Drosophila melanogaster: one gene and its partner. Changing the gene in region 2 together with the main gene of any one other region gives a genetic interaction. Each region holds a gene or a part of one and is shown on either strand. Other genes may lie near its edges.

Region 1 (6,005 bases), on a different chromosome or scaffold from region 2:
GATGCCAAAACATTGATTTAATTAACGAGCGGTTAAAAGAATGGCAAAGAAAGTTTATTTATAAGACCGAAGCGATAATGATTATTTAAATATGAAAGAATTCAACTAACTTCATATTAAGATGTCCTTGTTATGTCGCAAAGAATTAATAAAAATAAAAGTGAAAAAACAATTGAAAACCAGAAAAAGCAAACATGACGAATTAATACAAGTTTAATAAATGCGATAAAACAAATGAAATGATATTTTCAAATGGGAACAGTATGGATTTGGTTAGTACTCTTGATGACTAAATTGGACTTGCAGAAATCGAGGCACGAAGACATATTTTTTCACTGCACTCATACGAGTACCGACCAATTTAATTTATTACGCATTTTATTGCACTGTGGCCAATGATCAGTTAAAATAAAGCAACGTTCCACTTTGCTAGTGAACCTTATCAAAAATAAATAATTGATTATGTAACTCTTGCTCTTTAATCTCAACACCCAATTACCTCGTTGCGTCTATTTTTCAATATTTCTTCAATTTAAAGCACATGATTTTGTTGAATTTATAATTTTTATTCACTTAAAAATGTAGCTCCAAATACACTTATAATTTTACGGTGTTTAATATATGTATTTATCTTTAAATGTATGTGTGTATGTGTATCGTTAATAATTATGTTTATAGAAACTCATATATCGGAGCCACTCTACCGACAATGCACGAATGATTAGTGTGAGGCGCGGAATAGTTCGCCAATTAAAATGGTTTCGGATTAGGCGAGCCCAAATCCAAATGGGAACCTTCTCCTACTGCACGTATCCGCGACCAAGAGTAAGGATGGTATCAAAGAAGTGAATATTGAATCGGGTATGTCATCTGATTTCGCCATCGGCTGGATGTCTTAGCCAATGGTTGCTGTAGTAAGTTACCGCGTCCAGGATGCGAATGTGATTGGTTTTGCTTGCTCGGTTTTACGGAAAAAATTCATTTAAAAAGTTCCATTTTGTGGTTTTGTTTTGCGGTGTAAAACTAGAAATCTAACTGTAAAGATCATCGTCGCCGTTGTCGCCGGGCGAGTTAACTGGCAAGTTGTTACCAGATCCTGAGGTGTTGCCGGTTTGACCGGGGAATCTGCAATAACATATACACTATCATCAGTAACCTGGATTCCAACAAGAAATGCCTTTCAATTCTCACCTGAAGTTCTGTCCGAATCCACGGGACTGCTGCAAAGTCTGGGCAAACATCTCGTACTTCCTGATGTCATTATCGGACACCGAACGGCGAGCGAACTTCATGGCCTCCTCGAAGTGGGCGCTAGTAATCTCCGGCACTGGATCGTCCTCGTCCATCTGATTATATGGGTAAATAGTCAAACATAAACATTCTTATTTTTTGCGCTAAGCTAAATGACTTACGTCCATCGCGGAGTTCTGATTTTCGGCGCGCTCCTTCTCGCGACGAATTTCAGCCTCGATGGCCTGTCGGATGGCCAGCTTGCAAGCCCGCTGGCAGATCTCGGTCAGATCGGCGCCAGAGAAGCCCTGCGTCACCTTGGCGATGTAGGTAAGGTCTACTTCCTTGGCCAGCGGCGACTTGCGCAAGTTAGCCTTCAGGATAGCCTCACGCGATTTGTCGTCGGGCAGCGGAATATAGATCAACTGATCCAGACGGCCCGGACGGAGGATGGCCGGATCGATAATGTCCGGGCGATTGGTGGCTCCGATGATGAACACATTCTTCTTGGCTCCCATGCCATCCATTTCGGTAAGGATCTGATTGATCACACGATCAGCGGCGCCGCCAGCATCGCCGACATTACCGCCACGGGCTTTGGCGATCGAGTCCAGCTCGTCGAAGAAGAGCACACAAGGAGCCGCCGAGCGGGCCTTATCGAAGATGTCGCGCACGTTGGCCTCAGACTCGCCGAACCACATGGTCAGCAGTTCGGGACCCTTGACTGAGATGAAGTTCGCCTGGCACTCGTTGGCAATGGCCTTGGCCAGCAGCGTCTTACCGCAACCAGGGGGTCCGTAGAAAAGGACACCGCGACTGGGCTGCATGCCAAACTTCAAGAACTTGTCCGGATGCTCCACTGGGTATTGCACCAGCTCCTGCAATTCCTTCTTGACGCTCTCCAGACCTCCGATGTCTGTCCAGGTGGTGTTGGGCACCTCAACAACAGTTTCACGCAGCGCCGATGGACTGGACTTGGTCATAGCGTAGCGGAAGTTCTCCATTGTCACGGCCAGCGACGCCAGCACCTCGGCATCGATCTTATCGTCTTCCAAATCGATGAGGTCCATCTTCTCACGGATTTGCTGAAGGGCAGCCTCAGAGCAGAGTGAAGCCAGATCAGCGCCCACATGTCCGTGGGATTCGGCAGCAATCTGCTCCAGGTCAACATCATCATGCAGCTTCATGTTCTTGGTGTGAATGCGCAGCACCTCCAGCCGTCCAGTGGCATCTGGAATGCCGATGTCAATCTCACGATCAAAACGTCCAAAGCGACGCAGGGCCGGGTCAATGGAGTTGGGCCTGTTGGTAGCAGCCATAACGATCAGATGGGAGCTCTTCTTCATGCCATCCATCAGGGTCAAAAGCTGCGACACAATGCGACGCTCCACCTCACCGTGGGTCTTGTCACGCTTGGGGGCAATAGCGTCGATCTCATCGATGAAGATGATAGCCGGCGAGTTTTTCTCGGCTTCCTCGAAGGCCTTGCGCAGATTCGATTCCGACTCTCCGGCCAGTTTGGACATGATCTCCGGTCCGTTAATCAGGAAGAAAAAGGCTCCGGTCTCGTTGGCCACAGCCCTGGCAATCAGGGTCTTACCGGTACCCGGGGGACCGTACATAAGAATACCACGCGGTGGCTTCACACCAATGGCCTTGAAGAGCGATGGATGCCGCAAAGGCAACTCAACCATCTCCTTGATCTGGGCCAGCTGCTTGCGGCAACCACCGATATCATCGTAGCCAACGGCGTTTAGGGACTCCTCCTCCTCCTCGCGCTTAATTGGATCACCGTCGCAGAAGATTACCGTCTCGGGAGCTACGATGCAGTAGGGCTCCGGGTCGGTCAGCACCACCTTGAACTCAATAGGACGCATGGCGGCGCGCACAATAAAGTTGTCGCCCATGTGGATTGGCCGATAGGCCTCTAGGAAGTACGGCTTCAGATAGATCTCGAACAGGTTGCCGGTAACGCCTTCGGTGCTTTCGTCGATGGGCAGGATGCGCACCCGTTTGCCGTACTTGACGTCCGGGCAGGACTGCACGGAAACCACATCTGAAAGATGGACGCACAGGTTGTTGCGCACCACGCGGTTCATGCGGATCTTCTCGTCGGGACAGGTGTCGTCCGAGAGCACGATGCACACCGTCTCCTTTCGGCGCTTGCCCTTCAGAATCACGGTGTCGCCACGGAAGAGCTGCAGCTCATCCATCTTCGCCTGATATAGTTTAAGGGGGAAAAAGAACAGCCAAGTCATGTGAATTAGCCATGCGATGACGTGGCCTTTGGGAGAGTGAATCTTACCTGCGATAGCGACACCACAGAGTTGTCGTCATTCTGCGCCTCTTCCACAATCAGTCGGTTGGGACGGTCCTTGCGCTTCAGGATCGCCGTAGCCAGATCTTCACTGTAGGGTAGAAGAAAAAAGCATCGCGTAAGACTCGTCGCTAAAGAAATATCTTATGTCTTATATATAATTTGGCCTAACCGCTTATCGAACGAGTCTTTCGGCTTCATTTTCTCATCCTGCTCGCTGTGATATCCCCGCATAAAGTCCCTCGTATCCCCATCATGATCCATCTTATCGTTCTTGCCGCCAGACATTGTTTTTTTTGTTTTTTTTTTTGTTTTTTTGGATTGCCTTTTTTGTTAGTTTTGATAAATTTATGGAAACTACTTTCACTAGTAATACGGAATGGAACTAAGCATCTGGATAATTAGGCCTGCCGAATCATTTTTCGTTGCTAACGTGATGATGTCGATCAATCTTTATTGATAGATTTTTGAACATAAAAGGTTATCACCCTATATCGTTCATAAAAATCTATATTAATCGGAATAATAGTACAATTGTTTATTGTCTTTAGTTATAAAAGTATGTTTGTATTTCTTGTATTCGATGCCAACTTTTTTGGCGCCATTTGTTATAATAATTTCTAAACTTTGAGGTAAATTATGCATTTATTGTTACTTAAACGATATGTTTTTTTTTACTTCTGGCGAGTTGAGGGAGCACAAAGACTTTTCTAGAATTAATGCAATATCAAAAAAGGTATTACTAATAGGTAGCATTGAAATAAGTGGTTTCGGCATATAGTTTAGGATTTTCGCGATTTATTATAGAAATAGCTGCCATATATGTATGCAGTATTGTTTTTCGTATCCAAAGTTATAACTACAACAACCGGAAAATTGTATCCTCCAGCAAAGGATGACTTGTATTTTTGGGACAACAAAGGGAAATCGTAAGTTTTCAAGCGGCAACAACAACTGCAAGGGCAGTAACACCAACAACAACAACAACGTACTGCAAATGGCGATTCTCGCTGGCGTTTTTTTTTCTTCGGTTTTTAGGTTTGCCCTAGTTTCGCAACATTTTGCAACCGAGCAGTGGAAAAGTCGCGGTAAATGTCTTTGTCTCGCGGAAATCGGCGAAAGCCTTTCACAATTAAATAATAGTATGTCTGCGATGTGGCCCTTGCGTATTTTTTTCGGCTCAATGACTGAGCGAAATTTGTGAATTTCGACTTGGACCGACACAGTCGGCGCCTATTTCGGCGTCCAGTTCACTTACCCCTTGGAATCTGCCATGATAAACTAGTTGACGTTGAACTTTTTAACTTAATTGTACAATTCGGCGCGACTTGGACTATTCGTTGAGCTGGAAATCGGCACTTTTAGTCAAATTCAAAGATGAGGCAGCAGAAACAGATTGGTGATGTGCGTTACCGGACATTCATCGATTGGGCTTAGAAAATATCGATTACACGCTGCGATGGTTTGTAAAAGAAATTGAAGTGGCAACGCTAAAGGAAAGAGTGGCAATGTGTGCAGGTGCCTAACTTGGCTATGCTCGCTGGCAGATGATCGCTGCTATGAAGCCATGCGTGATAACGTAGCTGCTTACGTTTTTATTGAAAAAGTGCAGCATACTTTTCGGCTATGTCTATATCTAAAATATATGTAGGAAGTATGTAGAACTCAATCCGTCTATTTCACTTAGTTGTAGAAGTTTTGGTAGTAAGAAAAAATCTTCATTCATTCATTTCCCTAGAACACTCGGCCATCAACCTGTCCCTACAATAACTGCTCAATCGCAGCTTATGCTCGTAAAAACTTTTTAGTATTCATGGTTTTGGCATTAACGATGCCAATTATGGCAGCGTTTTATTTAGCTTTACTTTCAGTTTTATTTTTTAGTACTTAAGAGAGTGACAGCGACGTCGGCAGAGAGGAGAGCAGCGTCATTGGGCGTGGTCGCTGCCCCCAAAAGAATGGGAGCAAACTCCATAGAAACGCAGAACGAATTCAACCAATCGCCTGCAAGTCTCTTGTCTTCGAAGAGCGCCTGCGCAGAGAGCAAAAGAAAGTGGCGAGCGGAAACCAGTTTTTGTGACGATGAGGGTGACGATGAAGAGGAGTGGGGAGTCGGGGTGGCTGATAAAGATGGCCGTCGCCTTCCGCGGCGCAGGAAGCAGCGAAGAGCGGGGGGCAGGGCAGCGGAACCGCCTCAGACCCAAAGTCACAATTATGGGGCACTCATTCATTGCGGTGTATGATGCAAACAGCGCTCTCCTCGCTTTTCTCTCTTTTCCACCAAACTCTGCTGTACAGTCCGACGTCTTTAGCTCTGATTTATTCACACGATTTTTTGTTTTATTTTACTATCTTGATTCTGTATTATACTTATTGTGAAGATACTACTTGACAAGACGACAAACGGTGTAACTCCATTTATAAAAAATTGGTTAGTATTGAATATGCAAAGAAACGC
Region 2 (3,711 bases):
TGGACGCAAAACAGCTTTCATTATATAACCAAACCGTTTGTTGGTATCCCAATTAGCCGCAAATCTTGTTAAGTCGGCTCGCATCACTCCCCTGAAGAGCTACTCCACCCTGGTGGCCAATGTCCAGCGGAAGGCGGTGGTCCAGCCCCTGGCCGTGGCCAAGATTGTAGCGGTAAGTGTTTAGAGTTGAAAAATTCAGTGGTGGCTAATCATACTAAATGGTAATCCTCGACTGCTTATGCAGCCCGTCGTGCGCGAGATCTCCGTGAGTGCGCCCCGCATGGCTTCCGCTGGATCCAGCCACACCCTGCTCTGGACTGTGGAGCGAATTGTGTCCGCCGGCCTACTGGCCGTCATTCCAGCTGCCTTCATAGCTCCATCCCAGGTATTGGACGCCCTCATGGCCATCTCTGTCGTCATCCACACCCATTGGTAAGATATCCTTGAGGAAAATTAAACCTTTACTTATATTTTCCTCATTCACCAAACGCAGGGGCGTGGAGGCCATGGTAGTTGACTACATGCGGCCATCTGTCGTTGGAAACGTCCTGCCCAAGGTAGCCCACATTGCGCTGATCATCATCTCGGTGGCCACGCTGGGCGGCCTCTTCTACTTCATCCAAAATGATGTGGGTCTGGCCAATGGTATCAAGCGCTTCTGGGCCATCAAGGGCAAGGATGCCGAGAAGGCTTAAATGTCAAAGGAGCAATCAGTTGATGAACCACGAAACACCAGTTATTTATTCATAGTTTCGCGATAAGCATTAAATAAAGAATTGTAAAAAGTCACAGCTGCACAGAGCGGGTTTTGTAGAAAATTGTATATTCAACAAGAAAATCAGCACTAAAGTAGTTGGGTAACAGGCACCACCTTTGTTACGTATGGTAATCTACTGTAAACAATAAATTTGGGCTATTGTCCAGGTTTGGTCATGATTTCGTCTCCACATTGTTTGTGTAGAATAACCGGAGGGCATCCCATTGTTTGGTGTGCAGCAGAATGTGCGGTCGGCACTTACGCATGTGGTCAACCGCCTGATCCGGAGTCCATCCGTTCTTCTGCAAAGGATAAGTTGTGAGCTTTTTTTTAAGAGCTACGTGCAAATAGATAACCAACCCACCATCATGAGGTAGCATCCCACCAAAGTGGCACTTCGCGTCCTACCAGCCTTGCAGTGCACATAGACAGAACCCACGTTCTCCGGCTGGTAGGAGGAACTTAGGCCACCAATTCTTTGCTTTAGAGGCAGGAACTTGTTTATGAATTCCACGCCGCGGAAGAGCTTTTCTTGATTGGGCGACTCAAAGATGTCGGTGGTGGCCAGCTGCAGGAACTCAATGCCAAGCTTTCGCCACTTCTCCGTGTTGTTGGAGAAGGCGGTCAGCTCATAGTCCTCGTTCATCGACACCACCGCCTTCATGTTCTCCTTTTCAATGAGCTGAGCGGTTAAACAAGGATTTAGAAGGATTTCAGGCTTGGTTCCGTGGGGATACTTACGTCATTGGCCTGGCTGCGAAAGGGCAGTGCTCCCAGTATCACATGCTCATCGATGCGATCGTACCAATTCCTGGCCGATGCCTTTTCCATCAGGACATTGTACAGCAGGGTGGGGTAGAAGGAAACGCGTGCGAACATGGCAGCCTGAAATAACAGGTGTCGACTGGAGGATTAGGAATCGGGGCACAGGTGGCGGTTACTAGGTAGCGAACGTAGCGAACGCAACAGCTGTAACTTTCACCAGCACTAACGGCTGAGCTCGAAGAGTGATTCGCTGTGCGACTCACTCGGTTGAAGCGCGGGTTGGAACTGGTTTCGGTTTTCAATTTGGTTTTGGGCTGTGACTTTTGGGTCTGGGTGTCTGGCACGCAGGTCGCAGCTTCTACTTACACTCATCTCCATGCCGGCTGCTCAGTGGCTGACTTGGATTGGACGAGACAAAAGTTGGTGATTCACACGGGCGGAAATCTTCCTCGTATTCTAATTATTCCCGCTCGTAATTATCACTTTCGATTGCGCGTCAACAGTTCCAATTCAGATTTCCTTCTGGTTAAACTCTGCGCGTTCCTTTGCATAACGAAACAACAGCCGGAAAATCCAGGGGCGTAGCTAGCAAGCCCTGGGAATTTTTCGGGGTAAGACATTCTAGACGTTAACTATCGCAGTTGCCCGGGAAATAATTGTTGAGCATAATTTCCACATTTTGGTGCATATACGTTTTAAAGAAATGTACAAATATTTTTAAAATTTTATGTTTTACCGTCAGGCTTAGGCAAATTGTAATATTATTAAATGTAGCTTGTAATAATAAAAAAAAGTTGTAATTAAGTTTTGATATCGTCCTGACTAAATATTTATAAGCCTGTCTCGATTTTATTACTCCTTTTTAATTCGCGAAAATATTTTTGGAGACGCCCCTGGAAAAGACTGTTTTAGACGCGGTGCTTTGCAGCACTGGCACACAAACCTCGGCCCGTTCGCAGCACTAAGCATTGCAACAAAAAAGATTAAAAAGAATCTTACGTGTGAAAAATTAAGGAAACCGAACCAAGGTATTCCAACCACCACCAAGTCGAGGTGGCCAAAATGAGCTACCAGTAAGTCAAACGAATCCACCCAGAAGCAGCAATCCACTCTTTTTGCCGACCCTGCGCCCCAAGAAAACAGTAAATAACACAACACGTCAGAAGTGGAAGAGCACCATATAGACGCAGCAAAGGCGAAGACCAAAATTGCCGTTGTACATCCACATTGCCATCGAGAAAGGCAGATAGGCGACGATGAAGGCCAACAGCTGGATGTGCCTGCTGGCGCTGCTTCTCGCCTGGCAGCTGCGAGCGGAGGAGCTCCAAGGGCCCAACATTGATGGTACGGGCAGCAGTTTGGGTTCGGCCACAGGTACGGGTACGGGAACGGGATTGGGCACGGGAACAGCCACGCCAACGCTGCCCAATGAGCCCTCCACCCAGGCGGAGGCGGAGGAGGTGACCACGGCGGAATCAGAGTCGCGGGTTCCGTCGGAAAGCAACGAACGCAAGGCAGACAAACCCAAGGAGTCCACAAAGTTTGCTTCCAGGACGAAGGTTATGCCGGCTTCCCTGTTCGAACGCCTGTGGAACGAAAGTCTGATCAGGCGGCAAAAGCTGAAAGCCGAGATCGAGCGCATCGAAGCCAAACGCAAATCCACTGAAGTGTTAGAACTTACCCCAGACCAAATAGAAGGTAAGTGGGCATCGTTTTATTTGTTTTGCAGTTGCTGATTGCAATTTTTCCAGCTCAAACCGTGTACGACAACGCAATGGACATGTTGGCCAAGCCAAGCACGGATAAGCGAGTAGCCATGATTTTGCTTAAGAAGGCTGCTGCATTTAATCACCTCAAGGCGAGGGCGGAACTAGCCTGGGCCGCCCTACTGGGTCAATGGATGGACTTTGATTTCAACCATGCTGTCGATGAGTTTGAGAGTCTGGCCAACGAAGGCGTCCCAGAGGCTCACATGGGCCTGGGATTCCTTTATTCGGTGGGCGTTGGCGGTAAAAATGTAAGCCAGCCCCTGGCACTGATCCACTATAGCCTGGCTGCCCTCGGTGATAATACTCCGGCGCAAATGGCCATGGGGTATCGCTATCTTTATGGCATCAATGTGCCCATTAGCTGTGAGAAGGCGCTGATCCACTACAAGCGAGTAGCCAAAAAAGTGGCTTCCAAGATAA

What was found.
Region 1: of PTPMT1 (region 2) and TER94, changing one suppresses a phenotype caused by changing the other (phenotypic suppression), as found in Drosophila melanogaster (one study listed by BioGRID).

Annotation. Positions count from the first base shown.
Region 1 is NT_033778.4:9,988,104-9,994,108, reverse strand, and holds TER94 (transitional endoplasmic reticulum 94), read right to left. Parts: upstream 3,907-6,005; 5' UTR 3,812-3,906; coding exon 3,720-3,811; intron 3,639-3,719; coding exon 3,536-3,638; intron 3,450-3,535; coding exon 1,413-3,449; intron 1,347-1,412; coding exon 1,192-1,346; intron 1,126-1,191; coding exon 1,032-1,125; 3' UTR 550-1,031; downstream 1-549.
Region 2 is NT_033777.3:23,756,706-23,760,416, reverse strand, and holds PTPMT1 (protein tyrosine phosphatase, mitochondrial 1), read right to left. Parts: upstream 2,079-3,711; 5' UTR 1,901-2,078; coding exon 1,889-1,900; exon of another isoform or gene 1,860-1,888; intron 1,810-1,859; exon of another isoform or gene 1,643-1,809; coding exon 1,499-1,642; intron 1,440-1,498; coding exon 1,122-1,439; intron 1,060-1,121; coding exon 931-1,059; 3' UTR 811-930; downstream 1-810. Other genes in the region: SdhD (succinate dehydrogenase, subunit D), read left to right, coding at 57-172, 245-432, 494-695; Hrd3 (HMG-coA reductase degradation 3), read left to right, coding at 2,779-3,220, 3,274-3,711.